Anolis sagrei: one gene and its partners. The protein of the gene in region 1 binds, or shares a complex with, the protein of each later gene. Links are inferred from orthologs where the notes say so. Each region holds a gene or a part of one and is shown in the gene's direction. Other genes may lie near its edges.

Region 1 (7,923 bases):
GTCTACCTGAAGATGCTTGTGAATAGTATCATCTGAAAGAGAAAAAATTGCTCTACAAGATTAATATGTTTTTGTTTTGCAATGTGACCATTAAGTATCCATTTACTCAGGTCAAAGTATGGTATATTTTGTGCATTTATGCATTATGCTTTCTGCATCTTCAGGGCCTGCTAGTTCTTTTGATTGGCCGCTAAGATGTGATACTTGCTGGATTCCAGAACAGCTTTTTGCTGTTATTCTAGCTCCGTCAGTGACATCATCTGGTCAGCAATATAATTGCCCTGAAACCATTCTCTTGCAGATCAATGATGCTTTCAGAATGATGAAGTAACTGAATAAACCGAGTTGAGATCATGCAGTAAAGAAACCTGCAATCAGGCTTGATATCCTGCAGTAAAGATACCTGCTCTGGCTGTTACTGCATGGCTATCAACATGCCCCCTATAGTGATGGGGATGCTGGTTTCAATGTGATAACCAGTAATGGCTCAGCCATCATGGAGAAACGCAATACACCTTGCATACAAGATATAATATGCTTTGACCCATTTACTGGAGCCCCCAGTAGTGCAGTGGATTAAACGCCTGTGCAGGCAGGACTGAAAACCGACAGATGGCAGGTTCGAATCCGGGGAGAGCATGGATGAGCTCCCTCTGTCAGCTCCAGCTCCCCATGCGGGAACATGAAAGAAGCCTACCACAATGATGGTAACAAATCAAAACATCTGGGTGTCCCCTGGGCAATGTCCTTGCAGACGGCCAATTCTCTCACACCAGAAGTGGCTTGCAGTTTCTCAAGTTGCTCCTGACACAACCAAAAAATCCATTTACTCAGGTCACTATCGTTCAGATAAGGGGGTTGAGATCAGCAGCTATTGCAGTTAGAAACCTCACATTTTGGGAAACTTAGTTTAACACCTGACTGCCACTACAGCTAAAATTTGAACAAAATTGGAGACATGATGGTGGGAAAGTTTAGACTACTTGGTACGGAATGACCCAAAAACCTTTGAAGATTATGTTGCCTATATTATATCCACTTTAGAATACACATTTCAAACTTCAGTAACTGCCTCTTGGCATTGGACTGTTCTTTTATCATGGAGAGATTCCAGGAGATTTTGAGATCAGACACACTCTGCTCAACCCATTCCAATACAAGAACACAGATAACTGGTTACAAAGAAGAAGGTATTTGCAATGAATTCAACTTGTGCAGCAACTAAGTTATTCTACAAGTATAATGTAATGAGGATAACTTCACTTCTTTTGCATTATTAGTCTTTTTACTCACTGCTCTAACTAAAGGAGGCGTGTTAGGTATGTTTTGCTCCACAGGTCAGGAAAATTATAGCACTCCATTTTAAAACTATGTATGAAGTTTAAAAATGCTAAAGGATGTACAAACAATGAGTTACTTTTCACAAACTGTTCTAAATTCTGGGGGTTTTGAACTATTTCAAAGTCGGCCTAGTCTGTTTAGCTTTCTAATCTCTTCTTGCAGGTCAACAAAAAGTAATTCATTATTATTATTATTATTATTATTATAACAATAATAATAAACAATCTTTATATCCCACCCAATCTTCCCAGAGGGACTCAAGGTGGATTCCAATATGCAGTGACAAACATTCAATGCCTCCATAAAACAAGTACCAACATCATAACCCCCGAAAAACCTCACATATAAAAACAATTAGAACCTAATATCAATAGATTATAGCAATCGTAAACAAAAACTATATAAAATCTGAACATAAAACAATTCACATGGATCTACAGATGCCAACTATCATTCATAACATTGTGTGAGTTGTTTTTGTGGCCAGTGATGATAACTGGGCTAACATGGATTAGCAGAGCCTGGATACAAAATAATTCTCAACCAGAGGTCTGGTAGTGCTCTCTTATTATTAGGTTTATTTATACCATGCTTTATCTGTCCCAAAGGAGACTCAAAGCAGCTTACTTTGTTGGCGATAGCAACCTTCTCAAGCCTACTCTATGTAAAGTTATGTTTGTTTATAATGTGTCATTTTATTTCTTAAAGTGTATGCCTTCTTTGGTTTTCAGTTTCCTTAGCTCTATATACTTGAGGCAGTGGGAGGGGCTGCAGATCAGTGACAGTAGAGAATGCATATTAAAACATGATGACAGTTGAGGAATGAGTGTGGAGGCTTGAGTCAATTAGAATACAGAAGCCAGTGTAGGCAGTTAGAAGACAGTTGAGGCTTATGTCAGTTAGAATAGAAAAGCTAGTGTATTTATTTATTTATGACATTTACATGCTGCCCTTCTCATCCCAAAGGGGACTCAGAGCAGCTTACAAGTTATATGTACATACAATATATTATATTATTAGCATAGCACAATATTAGTATTATACATTACACTATACTGAACTATACCACTATACTGTAATATTATTAGTAATATAACATGTAACATGAAATATAAAATTATATTAGTACTATTATATTGTATTACATTATAATATTATCAATATTATATGTGCATACAATATATTATAATATTAGCTCTGCCAGGCCCGTAGCCAGGATTTGGGTTGGGGGGGGGTGAGTTTGATTCGGGGGGGGGGGCTGAGTCTGAGTGAAAGAGGGTCTACCCTAGCAAACCTTTTGTATCATTACCCCAATACCCCCATGCATACGGGATATATTGAGCATGTTGATCAGATCATGATATGAATAAACATAACAGTTTAAATAATGTACCAGTAAGGCCTTCTTGTGGACCACGATGAGAATTTCGCCGGGGGGGGGGGGAGAAGCCCCTCAAGTCCCCCCCCCCCCCCGGCTACATGCCTGAGCACATCACAATATTAGTATTATATAGTCAGAAGGCAGTTAGACCATGAGACAGGAGCCCCCGGGGGTGCCATGGGTTAAACCCTTGTGCCAGCAGGACTGAAGACTGACAAGTCGGTGGTTCGAATACGGGGAGAGCATGGAGGAGCTCCCTCTGTCAGCTCCAGCTCCCCATGCAGGGACATGAGAGAAGCCTCCCACAAGGATGGTAAAACATCAAAACATCCGGGCGTCCCCTGGGCAACGTCCTTGCAGACGGTCAATCCTCTCACACCAGAAGCGATTTATAGTTTCTCAAGTCACTCCTGACACAAAAAAAGCCTTGAAACAATTTGAGTACAGAAGTCTGTTTTTCAAACTGTTAGGAAGGCTGGGTTGTTGTAGGTTTTTTTCGGGCTATATGGCCATGTTCTAGAAGCATTCTCTCCTGACGTTTCGCCTGCATCTATGGCAAGCATTCTCAGAGGTAGTGAGGTCTGTTGGAACTAGGAAAATCTATATAAATAAAAATGTAATGTTTGTTTGTGATATTAACAGAACTCAAAAACCACAGGACGAATTGACACCAAATTTGGACACAAGACACCTAACAACCCAATGTATGTCCTTCACTAAAAAAAAAGAATAGATTTTGTCATTTGGGAGTTGTGTTGTTGTTGTTCATTCGTTCAGTCGTCTCCGACTCTTCGTGACCTCATGGACCAGCCCACGCCAGAGCTCCCTGTCGGCCGTTACCACCCCCAGCTCCCTCAAGGTCAGTCCAGTCACTTCAAGGATGCCATCCATCCATCTTGCCCTTGGTCGGCCCCTCTTCCTTTTGCCTTCCACTTTCCCCAGCATCATTGTCTTCTCTAGGCTTTCCTGTCTCCTCATGATGTGGCCAAAGTACTTCAACTTTGTCTCTAGTATCTTTCCCTCCAGTGAGCAGTCAGGCTTTATTTCCTGGAGGATGGACTGGTTGGATTTTCTCGCAGTCCAAGGCACTCTCAGCACTTTCCTCCAACACCACAGCTCAAAAGCATCGATCTTCCTTCGCTCAGCCTTCCCTAAGGTCCAGCTCTCACATCCGTAGGTGACTACAGGGAATACCATGGCTTTGACTAGGCGGATCTTTGTTGCCAGTCTGATGTCTCTACTCTTCACTATTTTATCGAGATTGGACATTGCTCTCCTCCCAAGAAGTAAGCGTCTTCTGATTTCCTGGCCACAGTCTGCATCTGCAGTAATCTTTGCACCTAGAAATACAAAGTCTGTCACAGCCTCCACGGTTTCTCCCTCTATTTTCCAGTTGTCAATCATTCTTGTTGCCATAATCTTGGTTTTTTTGACGTTTAGCTGCAACCCGGCTTTTGCGCTTTCTTCTTTCACCTTGATTAGGAGTTGTAGTTGCTGGGAAATATAGTTCACTTACAATCAAAGAGCATTCTGAACCCCACCGACAATAGAATTGGACCAAACTTGGCACACAGTTCTCCCATGACCAACAGAAAATACTGGAAGGGTTTGGTGGGCAGTGTCCTTAGGTTTTGGAGTTGTAGTTCACCTAAATCCAGAGATCACTGTGGACTCAAACAATGATGGATCTGAACCAAACTCTACACAAATACTCAATATGCCCAAATGTGAACACTGGTGGATTTTGGGGAAAATAGAATCTTGACATTTGGGAGTTGTAGTTGCTGGGATGTATAGTTCACCTATAATCACAGACCATTCTGAACCCCACCAACGATAGAATTAGGCCAAACCACCCACACAGAACCCCCATGTGGGCCACAGCAACGCGTGCCTGGGAACGGCTAGTGGGTTTATATATCTGTGGAATGACCAGGGTGGGACAAAGAACTCTTGTCTGTTGGAGCTAGGTGTAAATGTTTCAACTGTTGGGAAGGCTGTTAGGAATTGTGGGAGTTGTAGTCCTCAACACCTGCAGGGCCGAAGTTGGGTGTTCTTTTCCTCACCTGCTTTCTTCTCCTTTCAGAACGCGCGAGAAGACAGGCCCCGCCCCTTTCGCCCACTCAGTGACGTCACTCCCTTTATCCTGACTCCACCCACCAGCGCTCGTTCGCGCGCGCGCGGACTCTCTCTCTCTCTTTAGCCCCGCCCCCCGTTCTCTCCCAAATACGCGCGCGGAGGGACCAGTCAAACCGGCAGGCATCCCCTCTTGGCTTCTCTCTCGTCATCCAATCGGATTGAAGCAAGCCAGCAGGCATCTCTCTCTTTCTCTCTTTCTCTCTCCCCCCTCCCTTTTTTTGGCTTCTCCCGTTCTACCCAATCGGATCGAAGCAAGCAGGAAAGCAAGCGTCGGGCGAAGGCAAAGAGGAGCAGCACGCGCTCACTCTCTCTCTCTCTTTGGAAGCGTAGTCTCGCGAGACTCGGGAGCCGGCTAAGGGGGTTCCTGGTTGGTGGGACTGAGCGCTGAGAGAAGCCGGCGAGAGGAGGAGAAGAAGCAGAAGAAGAACAAGAAAGAAGGAGCCTGACGGCCGGGACCGCGCGGGAGGAGGCGAGGGGGGCTCCTCCTTCGGAAGGGAACAAGGCCGCGCCAACCGCCGCCGGGACATGGCTGAGAACGAGGCGGGGAGCGAGATCCCTCCCGCCGCCGCCACTGCCGGGTCCGGCACCGAGAGCGCCGCGGAGGCAGTTGTGGAGGGGCCGCCAGGAGGAGGAGGAGGAGGCGCCGAAGAAGGAGCGGTAAGAGAGGGAGGGGGGGGGAGCCCGAGAGAGAGAGCGAGTGAGGAGGAGGGCGCTTCTGCCTCCCTCTTCCGCCCTTCTCCCTTCTTCGCCGTTCCCCGCGTGGGACGAGGAGACAATGGCAGGAGGGAGGCGGAGGAAGAGCCCCAGCCCAGCCTTCCGGGGCTCTCCCGAAATCCTCCTCTTCTCTCTCTTGCCCTTCTTCAGCTTCTTCTTATTCCTCCTCTTCTTCCTTCTCCTTCCTCTTCTTTCTCCTTCTCTTCATCTTTCTCTTCTTTTCCTTCCTTTTCAGTTCCTTCTTCTTCTTCCCTTCCTCCTCTTTTCCTTTCTTTTTAACTTCTTCCTCCTCCTCCTCTGCTTTTTCTGTTTTCTCCTCTTCACCTTTCTCTTCTTTTCCTTCCTTTTCAGTTCCGGCTCCTTCTTCTTCCCTTCCTCCTCTTTTCCTTTCTTTTCACTTCTTCGTTCCTCCTCCTCTTCTCCCTTTTCTGTTTTCTCCTCTTCACCTTTCTCTTCTTTTCCTTCCTATTCAGTTTCTGATCCTTTGTCTTCTTCCCTTCCTCTTTTCCTTTATTTCCACTTCTTCCTTCCTTCTCTTCTTCTTTTTCTGTTTTCTCTTCTCCTCTTTACCTCTTCACCTGTCTCTTCTTTTCCTTCCTTTTCACTTCCTTCCCTTTCCTCCTCACTTTCTCCTCATTTCCTTCCTTTTCTCTTCTTTACTTCTTCCTCCTCTTCACCTTCATCTTCCTCTTTTCCACCCCTTTTCACTCCTTCCCTTTCCACTTCACTTCCTCTTTTCCTTCCTTTTCACCTCTTATTTCCTCTTCTCCTTCCTCTTTAGTTTTCTCTTCTTTCTCCTCTTCATCTTTTCTTTTCCTTCCTTTTCACTTCTTCCTCTACCTCCTCTTCTCCTTCCCTTTCCTCTTCACTTCATCCTCATCTCCCTCTTCCTCCCCATCACCCTCATTTCTCTCTCTCAGTCCTTCTCTTCCTTTCCTTCTTGTTCTTCCTTTTCCTCCTCACCATTCTCTTCCTTCTTCTTCCTCCTCTTCTTTCTCCTTCATCTCCTCCTCTTCACCTTCGTCTTCCTGCCCTTGTTCTTCTTTTTCACTTCCTCATCCTCTTCTCTCTTTTCTTCTGTTTTCTCTTATTCTCCTCTTAGCCTTCATCTTTCCCTTCTTTCCCTTCCTTTTCACTTCTTTCTCCTCTTAACCTCCATCTTTCTTTCTCCTTTTCTTCCTCTCCTTGTTCTTCCTTGTGACTTTTTCCTCCTCACCACCCTCTTCTTTTCCTTCTCCTTCATCCTCTTTCTCTTCCCTCTCTTCCTACTTCCTTGCCATCTTTTCTTATTTCTACTCCTATTTTCTTCTCTCCTTGTTTTCTCCATCTTCTCTTTTTCTTCCTCCTCACTGTTTTCTTCTTCTCCTTTCTCCTCTTTCACATCTCTTCTTTTTCTTCTTGTACTTCCTTGCTTCTTCTTTTTGTCTTCTTTTTTACACATTTTTTTTCTTTTTCCTTTTTCTCTCTATCTTCTCCTTCCTTCTCTTCTTTTTCTTCTTGTACTTCCTTGCCTCTTCTTTTCATCTTCTTTTTACACATTTTCTCTTCTTTTTCCTTTTTCTCTCCATCTTCATCTGACCTGGACTCTATGCTTTCTTTCTTTAATGGGAGAGAGTCCAGACTGCCTACAGTATACAATTAATGTGGTTTGGCCCAATTTGAGGTGCCCTGTCTCAATGTTGTGGGATCCTAGGAGTTGTAGTTTTATGGGCACCAACACTCTTTGATAGAGAAGGCTAAAGACCTTGGTTGCACCTTCAACTGTAGATTTAAGGCAATTTGACATCATTTTAATTCAGTGCCAGGTCTTCAACCTTCTCTGCCAAAGAGTGATGGTGCCTCATAAAACAAACAAGTCCTATCATTCTATTGCATTGAGGCATGGTAGCTAAAGTGGCTAAGAATGTTAGTCTGGCAGCAGCCACTGAAAGGGCTCTTTCTGATGTTCTCTGTAAAATTACAACTCCCATGATTCCACAACATTGAGCTACAGCAATTAAAGTGGTGTCAAACAGCATGAATTCTGCAGTTAAGATGCACCTTTAGAGTCCAATACTCAAAAGCTGGCTCTTCCTTGCTGGGTTGCTTGGCTCCAAAACTGCGTGATCCCAGACAGGTTGATTCACGCTCCATTTATACTGACCGATTAATGCATTTTGAAGCTAGCTTCAAACTGTGACGGCCAATGGCCAGGCAACAAACACACACAGAAGCATGCGAAAGAAAGCCCATGATGTGTATCAGTGCTCTGTGCTTTGCATATCATCTGGGCCTCAAACTGGTTCCAGGATTTCCTATGTAATTGCCTGCACAGCAAAACCACTTTCTTCAATACTGGTTTGAAACTG
Region 2 (7,410 bases), on another chromosome or scaffold:
GGGGAATCCTTTGTTGGGAGGTGTTAGTATAGCACACTATTAGTATTATATATTACTATATTACTATAGATGGATGGCCATCTGTCAGGGGTGCTTTGAATTCAAGGTTGTGAGTTTTCTGGGCTGTCTGCCCATGTTCCAGAAGCATTCTCTCCTGACGTTTCGCCCACATCTAAGGCAGGCATCCTCAGAGGTTGTGAGTCTGTTCGAAACTAGTCAAATGGAGTTGATATCTCTGTGAACATCCAGATATATAAACAAGTGTGAATGTTGCCATTGGCCAGCTTGATCACCACTGCAAAGCCTTGCAGCTTCAAAGCCTGGCTTCTTCCTTCCTGGGGGAATCCTTTGTTGGGAGGTGTTAGTATAGCACACTATTAGTATTATATATTACTATATTACTATAGATGGATGGCCCTCTGTCAGGGGTGCTTTGAATGCAAGGTTGTTGTGAGTTTTCTGGGCTGTCTGATCATGTTCCAGAAGCATTATCTTCTGACCTTTCGCCCACATCTAAGGCAGGCATCCTCAGAGGTTGAGGGGTCTGTTGGAAACTACGCGAGTGAGTATATTCCTGTGGAATGATGTCCAGGGTGGGAGAAAGAACTCTTGTCCGTTGGAGGCAAGTATGACTGTTACCATTGGCTAGCTTGATTACCATTGCAAAGCCTTGCAGCTTCAAAGCCTGGCTTCTTCCTGCCTGGGGGAATCCTTTGTTGGGAGGTGTTAGTATAGCACACTATTATTTATTTATTTATTTATTTATGGCATTTATATGCCGCCCTTCTCACCCCGAAGGGGACTCAGAGCGGCTTACAATATATATTTTCATACAATATATTATATTATTAGCATAGTAGAGTATCAGTATATACTACTATATTGCACTATACCATTATATTGTAATATTATTACTAATATTACATGTAATGTAAGTATATAATTATAATTATAATATTGAATTATTATTACTAGTATTATGTTGTATTACATTATAATTAGTATTATATTACTAATATTAGCAATATTAGTAATATATTAGTATTATATATTAGTATATTGTCCTATAGTGCAATCTTATTGGTAATATTACATGTATTTTACAGTTATGATATTATTATATTGCTTTATATTGTATTATATAATAACATTATGATCAATATAATATGTGTATACAATATATTATATTATTAGCTTGGCACACTGTTAGTATTAATTATGATCAGGGGAATCCTTTGTCGGAAGTGTTAGCTGGCCCATATAAATGTCGTAAATAAATAAATAAATTTGAGGATTTGAAACAGAGGCTGGATGGCCATCTGTTGGGGATGCTTTGAAGATTTGAAACAGGCTGCATGGCCATCTGTCAGGGGTGCTTTGAATGCAAGGTTGTTGTGGGTTTACCAGGCTGGTGAATGCCCTTGCAGTTTCAAGGCCTGGTTTCTTACTGCCTGGAGGAATCCTTTGTTGGGAGGTTTTCCTGCTTTTGGTGGTGAATGGCCTTGCGGTTTCAAGGCCTAGCTTCTTACTGCCTGGGGGAATCCTTTATTGGGAGGTTTTCCTGCTTCTAGGTGGTTAATGGCCTTGCAGTTTCCAGGCTTGGCTTCTTACTGCCTGGGGGAATCCTTTGTTGGGAGGTTTTCCTGCTTCTTGGTGGTGAATGCCCTTGCGGTTTCAAGGCCTGGCTTCTTACTGCCTGGAGGAATCCTTTGTTGGGAGGTTTTCCTGCTTCTTGGTGGTGAGTGGCCTTGCAGTTTCAAGGCCTGGCTTCTTACTGCCTGGGGGAATCCTTTGTTGGGAGGTTTTCCTGCTTCTTGGTGGTGAGTGGCCCTGCAGTTTCAAGGCTTGGTGGAATCCTTTGTTGGGAGGTTTTCCTGCTTCTTGGTGGTGAATACCCTTGCAGTTTCAAGGCCTGGCTTCTTACTGCCTGGGGGATTCCTTTGTTGGGGCTTTTCCTGCTGCTTGGTGGTGAATGGCCTTGCGGTTTCAAGGCCTGGCTTCTTACTGCCTGGGGGAATCCTTTGTTGGGAGGTGTTCCTGCTTCTTGGTGGTGAATAGCCATACAGTTTCAATTCCTGGCTTCTTACTGCTTTGGGGAATCCTTTGTTGGGAGGTGTTCCTGCTTCTTGGTGGTGAATAGCCATACAGTTTCAATTCCTGGCTTCTTACTGCTTTGGGGAATCCTTTGTTGGGAGGTTTTCCTGCTTCTTGGTGGTGAATACCCTTGCAGTTTCAAGGCCTGGCTTCTTACTGCCTGGAGGAATCCTTTGTTGGAAGGTTTTAATGCTTCTTGGTGGTGAGTGGCCCTGCAGTTTCAAGGCTTGGCGGAATCCTTTGTTGGGAGGTTTTAATGCTTCTTGGTGGTGAATGCCCTTGTGGGTTCAAGGCCTGACTTCTTACTGCCCGGGGGAATCCTTCGTAGGGAGGTTTTCCTGCTTCTTGGTGGTGAATGGCCTTGCAGTTTCAGGACTTGGCGGAATCCTTTGTTGGGAGGTTTTAATGCTTCTTGGTGGTGAATACCCTTGCAGTTTCAAGGCCTGGCTTCTTACTGCCTGGGGAATCCTTTGTTGGGAGGTTTTCCTGATTCTTGGTGGTGAATGCCTGGGGGAATCCTTTGTTGGGAGGTTTTTTGCTTCTTGGTGGTGAATGCCCTTGCGGTTTCCAGGCCTGGCTTCTTACTGCCTGGAGGAATCCTTTGTTGGGAATTTTTCCTGCTTCTTGGTGATGAATACCCTTGCAGTTTCAGGGCCTGGCTTCTTACTGCCTGGGGGAATCCTTTGTTGGGGCTTTTCTTGCTTCTTGATTAATGGCTTTGCAGTTTCCTGCCCTGGCTTCTTACTGCCTGGGGGAATCCTTTGTTGGGGCTTTTCTTGCTTCTTGATGAATGGCTTTGCAGTTTCCTGCCCTGGCTTCTTACTGCCTGGGGGAATTCTTTGTTGGGGCTTTTCCAGCTTCTTGGTGGTGAATACCCTTGCAGTTTCAGGGCCTGGCTTCTTACTGCCTGGGGGAATACTTTGTTGGGAGGTTTTCCTGCTTCTTGGTGTTGAATGACCTTGCAGTTTGAAGTCCTGGCTTCTTTCTGCCTGGGGGAATCCTTTGTTGGGGCTTTTCTTGCTTCTTGATGAATGGCTTTGCAGTTTCCTGCCCTGGCTTCTTACTGCCTGGGGGAATACTTTGTTGGGAGGTTTTCCTGCTTCTTGGTGGTGAATGGTCCTGCAGTTTCAAGGCCTGGCTTCTTACTGCCTGGGGGAATCCTTTATTGGGAGATTTTCCTGCTTCTTGGTGGTGAATGCCCTTTCAGTTACAAGGCCTGGCTTCTTACTGCCCGGAGGAATCCTTTGTTGGGAGGTTTTAATGCTTCTTGATGGTGAATTCCTGGGTTTTCCTACTTCTTGGTGGTGAATGCTTGGGGGAATCCTTTGTTGGGAGGTTTTCCTGCTTCTTGGTGGTGAATGCCTGGGGGAATCCTTTGTTGGGAGGTTTTCCTCCTTCTTGGTGGTGAATGCCTGGGGGAATCCTTTGTTGGGAGGTTTTCTTCCTCCTTGGTGGTGAATGCCTGGGGGAATCCTTAGTTGGGAGGTTTTCCTCCTTCTTGGTGGTGAATGCCTGGGGGAATCCTTTGTTGGGAGGTTTTCCTGCTTCTTGGTGGTGAATGCCCGGGGGAATCCTTTGTTGGGAGGTTTTCCTCCTTCTTGGTGGTGAATGCCTGGGGGCATCCTTTGTTGGGAGGTTTTCCTGCTTCTTGGTGGTGAATGTCTGGGGGAATCCTTTGTTGGGAGGTTTTCCTCCTTTTTGGTGGTGAATGCCTGGGGTAATCCTTTCTTGGGAGGTTTTCCTCCTTCTTGGTGGTGAATGCCTAGGGGAATCCCTTGTTGGGAGGTTTTCCTGCTTCTTGGTGGTGAATGCCTGGGGGAATCCTTTGTTGGGAGGTTTTCCTCCTTCTTGGTGGTGAATGCTTGGGGGAATCCTTTGTTGGGAGGTTTTCCTCCTTCTTGGTGGTGAATGCCTGGGGGAATCCTTTGTTGGGAGGTTTTCCTGCTTCTTTATGGTGAATTCCTGGGGGAATCCTTTGTTGGGAGGTTTTCCTCCTTCTTGGTGGTGAATGCCTGGGGGAATCCTTAGTTGGGAGGTCTTGGTGGAATGTGGTTAGACTGGATGGCGTAGGAGGTCTCTTCCAACTCTAATATTCTATGGGGAAAGAAAGGATTGGGTAGAGGAGAACTCCAGCTTGGAGGAACTTCAACTCCCAGGATTCCCTACCTAGGCTGTCCATAGGAAAGAATTCTGGGAATCGTAGTACAAAATGACCTCCCCGCATGCAATACCAAGCGATTCCGAGCGGTGGCAGCCGAGAGCCGGATGTTGCCCTGGAAGTGGGTGCGGATACGCATGCGCGTGAGGCGGGAATTGACATCCGGTTCCTTTTCCCAAGCATGGAGAGCAATGGCGGCGCGGAGGCTTCTTCTTCGGCGGGCGAGAGGCTCTTGGGCCAAAGCCGGGAGTTCCTGGACTTCTTCTGGGAGATCGCCAGGCCCGAGCAGGAGAGGCGCGTGGGAGGCACCCAGGGACTCCTGGCACACCTCAAGGAGAGGAGGAAGGTCAGTCTTTGGGCTTGGAAGGGAACCCCAAAGGGCATCTAGTCCAACCCCCACACGTGGACACCAGACAGAGGGACACCCAGGCTCCACTTAATAATAGTAATCATAATAATAGTATCCTAGAGTTGGAAGACACCATCTGATCACTCCCGACAGAGGGTCACCCACCTTCTACTTAATAATAATCATAACAATAGTATCCTAGAGTTGGGAGACACCATCTGATCCCTCCCGACAGAGGGCCATCCACCCTCCACTTAATAATAATCATAATAATAGTATCCTAGAGTTGGAAGACACCATCTGATCCCTCCTGACAGAGGGCCACCCACCCTCCACTTAATAATAATCATAATAATAGTATCCTGGAGTTGGAAGACACCATCTGATCCCTCCTGACAGAGGGCCATCCAGACTCCACTTAATCATAATCATAATAATAGCATCCTAGAGTTGGGAGACACCATCTGATCCCTCCCAACAGAGGGCCATCTAGACTATACTCAATAATAATGAGAATAATAGTATCCTAGAGTTGGAAGACACCATCTGATCCCTCCCGACAGAGGGTCACCCAGCCTATACTCAATAATCATGATAATAATAGCATCCTGGGGTTGGAAGACACTATCTGAACTCAACCACCCAACCTCTACTTAAAATTCACAATAATAACAGCATCCTAGAGTTGGAAGACACCATCCAATCTCTCCCGACAGAGGGTCACCCATTATTATTATTATTATTATTATTATCACTCAGGATAATAATAATAATAATAATAATAGTATCCTGGGGTTGGAAGACACCATTTGATCCCTCCTGACAGAGGGCCACCCAGGCTCCACTTAATAATCATCATAATAATAGTATTCTAAAGTTGGAAAACACCATCTGATCCCTCCCGACAGAGGGCCACCCAGACTCCACTTAATAATAATCATAATAATAGTATCCTAGAGTTGGAAGACACCATCTGATCCCTCCTGACAGAGGGCCACCCAGACTCCACTTAATCATAATAATAATAATAGCATCCTAGAGTTGGGAGACACCATCCAATCTCTCCTGACAGAGGGCCACCAAGCCTATACTTAATCATAATGATAATAATATTATCCTAGAGTTGGAAGACACCATCTGATCCCTCCTGACAGAGGGCCACCCAGACTCTACTTAATAATAATCATAATAATAGTATCCTAGAGTTGGAAGACACCATCTGATCCCTCCTGACGGAGGGTCACCCAGCCTCTACTTAATAATAATCATAATAATAGTATCCTAGAGTTGGGAGACACTATCTGATCCCTCCCAAAAGAGGGCCACCCACCCTCTACTTAATGGTAATAATAGTATCCTAGAATTGGAAGACACCATCTGATCCCTCCCAATAGAGGGCCACCTATTAATAATAATAATAATAGTAATAATAATAATAATAATATCCTAGAGTTGGAAGAGAGGCTCAAGTGCCATCTAGTCCAAACCCATTCAGTCCTAAAGAAAGACACCATCTGATCCCTACCGGCAGATGGCCATGCACACTCTATTAAAAAAAGCAGCAAGGTTGAGAGAGAGAGAACTTTGCCTTGCTTCAGTGTCTCCATGCATTGTTTCTTTTAGGATGGCGACCTGTTGAAATACACATTAAAGCGCCTGGTTGTGGGATTGGGAGCCACGCGAGAGGCGTCCCGTCCGGGATTCAGCCTGGCCTTGGCACAGGTGCGGAGCTGTTTGTTTATGTATTAATTAATGTATTTATTTACTTGTTGCATTTTTTTTATTACTCACGTGATGGCTCGAGGCGGAGTACAACCAAGTAAAAAACAAGTGAACATAAACATACAATAAATTACTAAAGTACGCAGACAAGAACACACACGTATCGATCTATCTTTTATCTATACACCTAATATAATAATTAATAATCATTATTATTAATAATACATGTGTGTTCATTTGCAAAGTCAACCTCCCATCTCCACAAACAGCTTTAAATCCCACCACTCGGGTGACATCAGTGGCCCTCCCTCCAACGACATTAGTGAGCACTACATCCTGTTATAGAGGAGGAATTTTGGGGTCTTTGCCAGGAGGCAGAGACCAATTAGACTCATCAAAGAGTTCTTTTCCCTGACAAGACAGAGAGAAGCACCCAATCCCTGATTTTTCCCAATAAAAGGTCTCACCAAGTTGAAGGAAGTGCCACCGAGATGTTTTATTTGCGATTAAACTGAAAAGGATGCAGAGCAGCAATCATTCGCCAAGCAGAGCATGTGGTTACAGAAGTAAAGGCCATTTTTATAGAAAATACAGAGTTGTGAGTTTCAAAATTCCCGCTCCCCCCTCCCACCCAGCTTGAAGGGGATTGGCTGATGCGCAAACAGCTGGGAGGAGGCTTGGCCATCCCCATGCATCAGGGCCAATCACAGGGCTTTCGCGATGCAACAGAGCCTATCAGGAGGCTCCTGCTGCCTTGACGCTCCAGCGAATCGGAAGGGAGGGAGGCGGGATGAAGGGATACAATGCATTCTGGATTATGACAAAATTGTTCCTGAGGCTTAGCGAGATCCGGGTGGGGGGTCTGCCAGCCAAGCCATTCTATTGTGTTCGTGAGTGAAGGCAATAAACATATGTTAAAGAAATCCAGGTTTTCCTGTCGGCATCAGATATGACACAAAGGGGAAGACTTGGATGGAAGTTCTTTGTGGAGAAATTTGAAAGAAAAATGGCTTGGAGGCAAAAAGAAGATTTTTCTAAGGTCATATTCCCCCCATTGTTATATGATTAAAAAGTCTGCCAAACAGAA
Region 3 (7,741 bases), on another chromosome or scaffold:
AAGAATATATGATAATAAAGCAAAAAACCCATCTTCCCAATGTGATAGACAAAACCAGAACACAGAAGTCAAGAGTTATGCATTAATTTTAAGTAGGCGAATTCTTAGAATAAAAAACATTAGACCACCTATAATAGTAATAGTATCTGAAATACGAACTATCAAAAAAAATCATTTAACATTTCTCTTGGTGATGCAGTTATGATGATTTATGAAGTACTTAATTATTTTCCCTTCAATCCAAAAGATCAAAATTGGATGCCAGCCAGTAGAGTTACCCACTGCAAACTACGGGCAGATCATGTTTACCATATATACAGAAGATCGTTTCTGTTTTTTACCTGCAGAGAGAACCATTATGCAGGTACAAAAACTCAGTTACGTGGTAATTATATTTAATTTTGGACTTTCACAGTACTCTCCATTCTTTCAAAAGTATGTAACAACCTAATTACTAATTTAGCTTCTTAGCCATAGGAGCCCATTGTACATCAGAGTACTATCTACAGTCTTATTTTTGTCAAGATTAATGACAGAGCTCTGTTTACAGAGCAGAGGGTTGTCTTTCAAGACAACCACTTGCCAGAATCTGCATTTCTTTATAGCATTCTGTTTCAGTTGTGTTTTCAACATAATTATCCTGAAGTGGTAGTGTGTTTCTGCCTCTTTTGTTATCCTTGAACTAGAGCCGCATGGCGGTTCCTGATCAGTCAATCGTTATACAATAATATTTATTTTCATTAATTTTGATTTATTGTATTACATCACACCATCCATGAAAAGAATTCAAAAGCATTGTACCTCAGGCTGGTTTATTCTGATACATTCATGACACAGTACATCAAGTTAGAATGCACTATAAGGGCTCCCCCAAGTCCAGCTCAAGGTACTGGTGCTTATTTGTAAAACTCTAAACAGCATGGTTCCCAATATTTCAAAAAGCATCTCTTCCCATTTGTTTTGGGGAAAGTGTATTATGCATGTCTGAAAGAAAAAATCTTTCTCTTAACTTTGAAAGTCCTCTGAAGATCCTTTTGGCACTACAGTCCTTTTCTATTATCTGATCATTTTACAGATCAGAGCTCGTGCTTAATTTATTTTTCTCAGGTATTATTTCATAATACATTATATTGTTTAACACAGTATTGAGGAGCTTTCTAACCAAGGTGAAAGAAGAAATTGTGGATTGCAGTTAAACATCAAAAAACCAAGATTATGACGACCAGACTGATGGATAACTGGCAAATAGAAGGAGAAAATGTGGAGGCAGTGACAGACTTAGTATTTCTAGGCGCAAAGATTACTGCAGACAGAGACTGCATCAAGGAAATCAGAAGACGTTTACTTCTTGGTAGGAGAGCAATGGGCAATCTCAATAAAATAGTGAAGAAACATTACACTGGCAATGAAGATCCGCATAGTTAAAGCAATGGTATTCCCCATAGTAATGTATGGGTGTGCAAGCTGGACCATAAAGAAGGCTGAGCGAAGGAAGATAGACACTTTTGAACTGTGGTGCTGGAGGAAAATTCTGAGAGTGCCTTGGACCCCAAGAAGATCCAATCAGTCCATACTTCAGGAAATAAAGCCCGACTGCTCACTGGAGGGAAGGATAGTAGAGGCAAAGATGAAGTACTTTGGCCAGATCATGAGAAGAAAGAAAAGCTTAGAGAAGACAATGATGCTGGGGAAAATGGAAGGAAAAAGGAAGAGAGGCCGGCCAAGGGCAAGATGGATGGATGGCATCCTTGAAGTGACTGGATTGACCATGAAGGAGCTGGGGGTGGTGACAGCCGACAGAGAGCTCTGTCATGGGCTGGTCCATGAGGTCACGAAGAGTCAGAAATGACTGAACAAATGAACAACTGTAATCATCTTTAATCTTTAATGAAATTGTTTTTATTTTGTGAGTCACACTGGGGACTCTGGTCAAAACAGAATGCAAAGCTATATAGACCAATCTACAAACATCATTAAAAAGTTGGTCTTCGCCCTATTGTAACAATACTGAAAGTAAAAATGGGCACAAAAAATTAACTGTCTACTTTCAGAACCATACATAGAAATTAGAAATTGATGGGAGTTGCAGTACCTTCACACACATCCAGAGACCACTGCGAGCCTCATCATTGATGGATTTGGACGAAATTTGGCACATAGATCCTCCCCCACCACTAAAACTGGAACAAAATATTTTTCACTGGGACTTTTGGGGGTTAGTTGGTTTAGAGGGGGGAAGATGAGTAGAAAGAAATTTCTCAGGGGATTGGGCTCTCCTGACATTTCACTTGCATTTATGGCAGGCATCCTCAAAGGTGGTGAGGTCTGTTGCCTAAGGATGTTTACGTATCTGTGGAATGTCCAGGGTAGGAGAAAGAACTCTTGTCTGCTTGAGGAAGGTGTGAATGTTGCAGTTGGCCACCTTGATTAGCATTTAATGGTCTTGTCGCTTCAATGCCTGACTGGTTGCTGCCTGGGGGATCCTTTGTTGGGAGGTGTTAGCTGGCCCTGATTGGATTGTCTGGGCTTCCCTGGCTTTTTGAGTCTTTACTTTCTGTCGTGATTTTAGAGGGTGTTTTTTAGTACTAGTAGCCAGATTTTGTTCATTTTTATGAATATTAGGTTTGTTACACCATTGTAAATAGCTCCCTATGCTTGTGTACTATACGAATTGAGTATTCTCATGATCAATTGAACTGATAGTTTTGCTGAAGTTTACAGCAACAGGACATAATAATAATAATAATTTTTTTAAAAACTGTATTTGTACCCCGCTACCATCTCCCCAAGGGACTCGGAGCGGCTTACATGAGGCCAAGCCCACAATACATCAATAAACAAAACATCAATAAAACAATCAATACAATACAATTCATATAAATCACATAAACAAAAAATAAGCAATAAACAATCAACAGTGACATACAAGCATTTAAAACCAATGGCCGGGCCAAATGTAATAGATTAAAATTAAAAAAATAATGCTGACGTGAACAAGGTAGGATATAACTGGGATAGGATTTTCAGAGAGAAATGAGGGCATGCAGTCAGTCCTAAATCAGTGGTAAAGTGCGTTTTGAGGGCATATTGCTGAGAGTTTTCATTATTCTGGGAAGGCACACTGGAACAACCACGTTTTCATGCTCCTCCTAAAGACTGCCAGAGTTGGGGCATATCTGATGTGCCTGGGAAGTGAGTTCCAGAGTTGGGGGGCCACCACCGAGAAGGCACTCTCCCTCGTCCCCACCAATAGCGCCTGCGAAGGAGGTGGGAGCGTGAGTCACTCTGGGGACATTTCTGTATTTACATTGTACTTATAGATATTCTGCTTTGGTTAGACCACACCTGGAATATTGTGTCCAATTCTGGGCACAATTCAAGAGAGATATTGACAAGCTGGAATGTGTACAGAGGAGGGCGACTAAAATGATCAAGGGTCTGGAGAACAAGCCCTATGAGGAGTATCTTAAGGAGCTGGGCATGTTTAGCCTGAAGAAGATGAGAGGAGATATGATAGCCATGTATAAATATGTGAGAGGAAGCCACAAGGAGGAGGGAGCAAGCTTGTTTACTGCTTCCATGGGGATTAGGACAAGAACTACAAGAAAGGAGATTTCATCTGAACATGAGGAAGAACTTCCTGACTGTGAGAGCCGTCCAGCAGTGGAACTCTCTGCCCTGGAGTGTGGTGGAGGCTCCTTCTTTGGAAGCTTTTAAACAAAGGCTGGATGGCTATCTGTTAGGGGTGATTTGAATGCAATATTCCTGCTTCTTGGCAGGGGGTTGGACTGGATGGCCCATGAGGTCTCTTCCAACTCTTTGATTCTATGAGGTGTTAGCTGGCCCTGATTGGATTGTCTGGACTTCCCTGGCTTTTTGAGTCTTTACTTACTGTCCTGATTTTAGAGTTTTTAAAAAAATACTGGTAGCCAGATTTTGTTCATTTTCATGAATATTAGGTTTGTTACACCATTGTAAATAGCTCCCTATGCTTGTGTACTATATGAATTGAGTATTCTCATGATCAATTGAACTGATACTTTTACTGAAGTTTACAGCAACAGGACATAATAATTTTAAATCTTTGGAAGCTTTTAAACAGAGGTTGGATGGCCATCTGTTAGGGGTGATTTGAATGCAATATTCCTGCTTCTCGGCAGGGGGTTGGACTGGATGGCCCATGAGGTCTCTTCCAACTCTTTGATTCTATGATCTGTGTAGTTAAGAGTTCTCTGTGTAGTCTGACATGGTGGTGGTTAGTGCGGTCCAGCATCCCCCCAGGCAGGAATCAGCCAGTCTTTGAAGCTGCAAGGCTATTCAATGGTAATCAAGGCGGCCAATTGCATTTATTTATTTATTTGTCGTGTCAGGGCAACCAGTCAATTGTATTACATTTCTAACAGAACAAAACAAACAGACAGACAAAACACAAAATTGCAAACATTCAAGCTGACAGTTTTTTCCCCCTTCCCTGGACATTCCAGATATATAAACCCCACTTGCTTAGTTTCCAACAGACCTCACAACCTCTGAGGATGCCTGCCATAGATGAGGGAGAGAATGCTTCTGGAACATGACCAGACAGCCCAGAAAACTCACAGCAACCCAAATATAATAAGAACAACAACTCTGGAGGCAGGCTTATAGAAAGCCTCTCGAGTCTCGCGAGAGAATGAGAACAGAACTAGGGGATCCCGCGAGATGTCAGCCGTCGCGGGACAGCGGAAATCTCGCGATGCTATACTCGACGCCATCTCGAGCGAAGAGGTTTCAGTAGGCGCGCTGTTCGTCTGAGGAGAAGAGAAAGAAGGCGGGAGAGGAAGAGGAGGAGGAGGAGGGGCCGGGCCTCCGCCGTCGGGTAGGCCGCTTCCCAACTCAAAATAATGGCGGGCTCTTCTTCCCGCTCAACCCAGACCGCGAAGTAGGCCCTGATACAGAGGCCGAAGCCCGCCCGGGCGCCCTTTCTGTCAAATAGAGGTCGAACCCCGTGGCGTTTTCAAGGCCGAGGCTGCGTTGACGCCTCCCTGCTTGTGTCTCCCTGCAGGAGAACCAGCCATGACGTCTGTTTCCGAAAAAGACGGCTCCCAGGCCGCGGAGGAGGCGGAAGAAATGGGCTCAGAAGCCGAAAACAAAGTGGGAGAGAGCGAGGAAGAGGAGGAAGAGAAAGGTAAGTGCGTGGCCACATCCAAAGCAACAGGGTGTGCCATGTAAATAGAGGTCCGTGTGTGCAGGGAGAGCGCCTCAAGGCAGCTGCCTTTTGTCTCCATACAAACAAATAGGGCTGGAAAGGACTTCAAGGCAGGAAAAGAGAAAGCCTTTAGCTCAGGCCTGGGCAAACTTCGGCCCTCCAGGAGTTTTGGACTTTAACTCCCACAATTCCTAACAGCCGGTAGGCTGTTAGAAATTGTGGGAGTTGAAGTCCAAAACACCTGGAGGGCCCAAGTTTGCCGAACCTGTACAAATATTATTATAATCCTGCCCAGGGAAGTGGTCCTCTATTTGAAAGAACGGTACGAAATATACAAAATGTTATTTATTTATCATATCAGAAGCAAATTTAGAATATAGTTGTATTAAAAAAAACCCACAAACAAAGTTAAAAACTTGGCATTATGCTACATTTCCTTTGAGCAGAAGCTGGTCACTTTGAGTGCCTCTGTTGTTGCTTTAAGGAAGTCCTCCATTGTGCATGTGGCAGGGCGCAGACTGCATCGTAGTAAGTCAGTCGTTCTCAACCTGTGGGTCCCCAGATGTTTTGGCCTCCAACTCTCAGAAATCCTAACAGCTGGTAAACTGGCTGGGATTTCTGGGAGTTGTAGGCCAAAACTCCTGGGGATTCACAGGGTTGAGAACCACTGTATTAAGTGGTCTGTGGTTTGCTCTTCTCCACACTCTCATGTTATGGGCTCCACTTTGTAGCTCCATTTCTTAAGATGAATTAACAAAATGAACTAACAAGATACTCCACTTCGACAAAAAAAAAATGAAATGCAAAGATACAGAATGGAGGACGCCTGGCCCGATAGCAGTACGTGTAAAATCTTGTAGTCCTCATGGACAAGTTAAACATTAGCAAACAATGTGAAGCAACATCTTAAAAAGCCATAGGGATTTTGGCCTGCATAAATAGGAGTATAGTGTCTAGATTCAGGGAATACGCGCTACCTCTCTAGTCTGTCTTGGTCAGACCACAGCTGGAATACTGTGTCCAGTTCTGGCCACTGCAATTTAAGGGAGATATTGACAGGCTGAAATGTGCCCAGAGAAGGGCAACTAAAATGATCAAGGGTCTGGAGAACAAGCCCTGTGAGAAGCTGCTTAAAGAGATGGGCATATTTAAACTGCAGAAGGGAAGGCTGAAAAGAAGCATGATGGCCATATATAAATATTTGTGGGGAAGTCATGGGAGGGAGCAGGCTTGTTTTCTCCTGTTTTTAAAGCAGAAGCTGGATGGCCACCTGTCAGGGGTGCTTTGAATGCGATTTCCAGGGTGTTGGGCTGGATGGCCCACAAGGTCTCTTCAAACTCTATGATTGCCTCTGCAGCTCAGGTCGCCAGAGCGCAGTTTGTTCAGCGCCTTCCAAATTGCACAGTCTTCTGTGTGCCCATGAGGGAGTTTCTTATCTGGTATCACCCACTGATTGATATTCTGGGTTTTTACCTATCACTTTTGGGCTCTCACTTGCTGAGATGTTCCAGCAAATATCTCTGTAGATCTTAGGAAGCTGTATCTTGATTTAAGTCGTTAGCATGCTGGCTGATACCCGAACAGAGGATGGGCCGGAGATGTCAATGCCTTGGTCCTTTCATTGCTGGCTGCTACTTCCCTGTGGCATTGAGTAGGCAAATTTGTGGGAAAGAAAAGAAAATCACTCTCTTCTTGGTCCTGGTTTTTCAAGAAATGTCTCATAGAGTCTTGACCAATTCAACATAGTTTGTGGCAGACACAAAAACAAAGTTTTGGAGCATAACAACTACTTTTAAAGTTCTGCGCAATTAAATAGGAATAACACTGTCAAACCAGGAACAGAAAATACTGCTAATCTTGTTGCATAGTGTTGTTGTTAGTAGTAGTAGTAGTAGTAGTAGTAGTAGTAATAATAATATTGTGCATTCCCCAGGATTGAGACTCCCAAATGATTCACAAGTTAAAAGAACAATACAATTCAAAACATACAGAACGTTAATGTTATAGTAGAAAAGTTTGTATTAAAATAGAGAAAGTTATTAGAAAGAAAGATTGCTTCCTTCTCATGCATGATTGTATGTAGCCTATGCAAACACCATTATTATTATTATTATTATTATCATTATCATTATTATCTTCCCCCCCCCCCCAGAATTCACATTTTTAAAAGAACGATACAATTCAAAACATTAATATCAAAGTTGGAAAGTTTATGTTAAAATAAAATGACTTTTTTTCTAATGCATGGTGGTTTTTTCAGTCTGTGCAAATATGATTCCCATCATCATTATTGCTATTGACTTGCTTTTCCCCCAGGATTGGGACTCCAGGTGGTTCACAGTTCAAAAAACAATGTAATTAACAACATACAAAAAGTAAATGCTGAATTAGACTTACAGTAAACAAATAGCGATATTGAAGCAGTTCAGATCAGATAAAGGATATCATGCAATTTGAAAGATTTATCGCTCTTATTTACACTTCAGCACCTATGCCATTCTTTTACAAATTTTGTTTTAAAAGCCTTTTATACACTTTCTGGGATTTGGGTAT

What was found. The genes of interacting proteins can lie anywhere in the genome.
Region 2: SMARCA5 (region 1) and MYBBP1A share a complex: the UniProt entries of both Homo sapiens proteins name them as parts of the B-WICH complex. The link is inferred for Anolis sagrei from reciprocal best matches to the Homo sapiens genes SMARCA5 and MYBBP1A.
Region 3: SMARCA5 (region 1) and DEK share a complex: the UniProt entries of both Homo sapiens proteins name them as parts of the B-WICH complex. The link is inferred for Anolis sagrei from reciprocal best matches to the Homo sapiens genes SMARCA5 and DEK.

Annotation. Positions count from the first base shown.
Region 1 is NC_090025.1:46,574,490-46,582,412, forward strand, and holds the start of SMARCA5 (SWI/SNF-related matrix-associated actin-dependent regulator of chromatin subfamily A member 5), read left to right. Parts: upstream 1-4,920; 5' UTR 4,921-5,386; coding exon 5,387-5,518; intron 5,519-7,923. UniProt on the Homo sapiens protein: ATPase that possesses intrinsic ATP-dependent nucleosome-remodeling activity.
Region 2 is NC_090031.1:32,715,883-32,723,292, reverse strand, and holds the start of MYBBP1A (myb-binding protein 1A), read left to right. Parts: upstream 1-4,394; 5' UTR 4,395-4,433; coding exon 4,434-4,598; intron 4,599-6,224; coding exon 6,225-6,323; intron 6,324-7,410. UniProt on the Homo sapiens protein: May activate or repress transcription via interactions with sequence specific DNA-binding proteins. Repression may be mediated at least in part by histone deacetylase activity (HDAC activity).
Region 3 is NC_090024.1:79,805,256-79,812,996, forward strand, and holds the start of DEK (protein DEK), read left to right. Parts: upstream 1-4,725; 5' UTR 4,726-4,858; exon of another isoform or gene 4,859-5,044; 5' UTR 5,045-5,055; coding exon 5,056-5,167; intron 5,168-7,741. UniProt on the Homo sapiens protein: Involved in chromatin organization.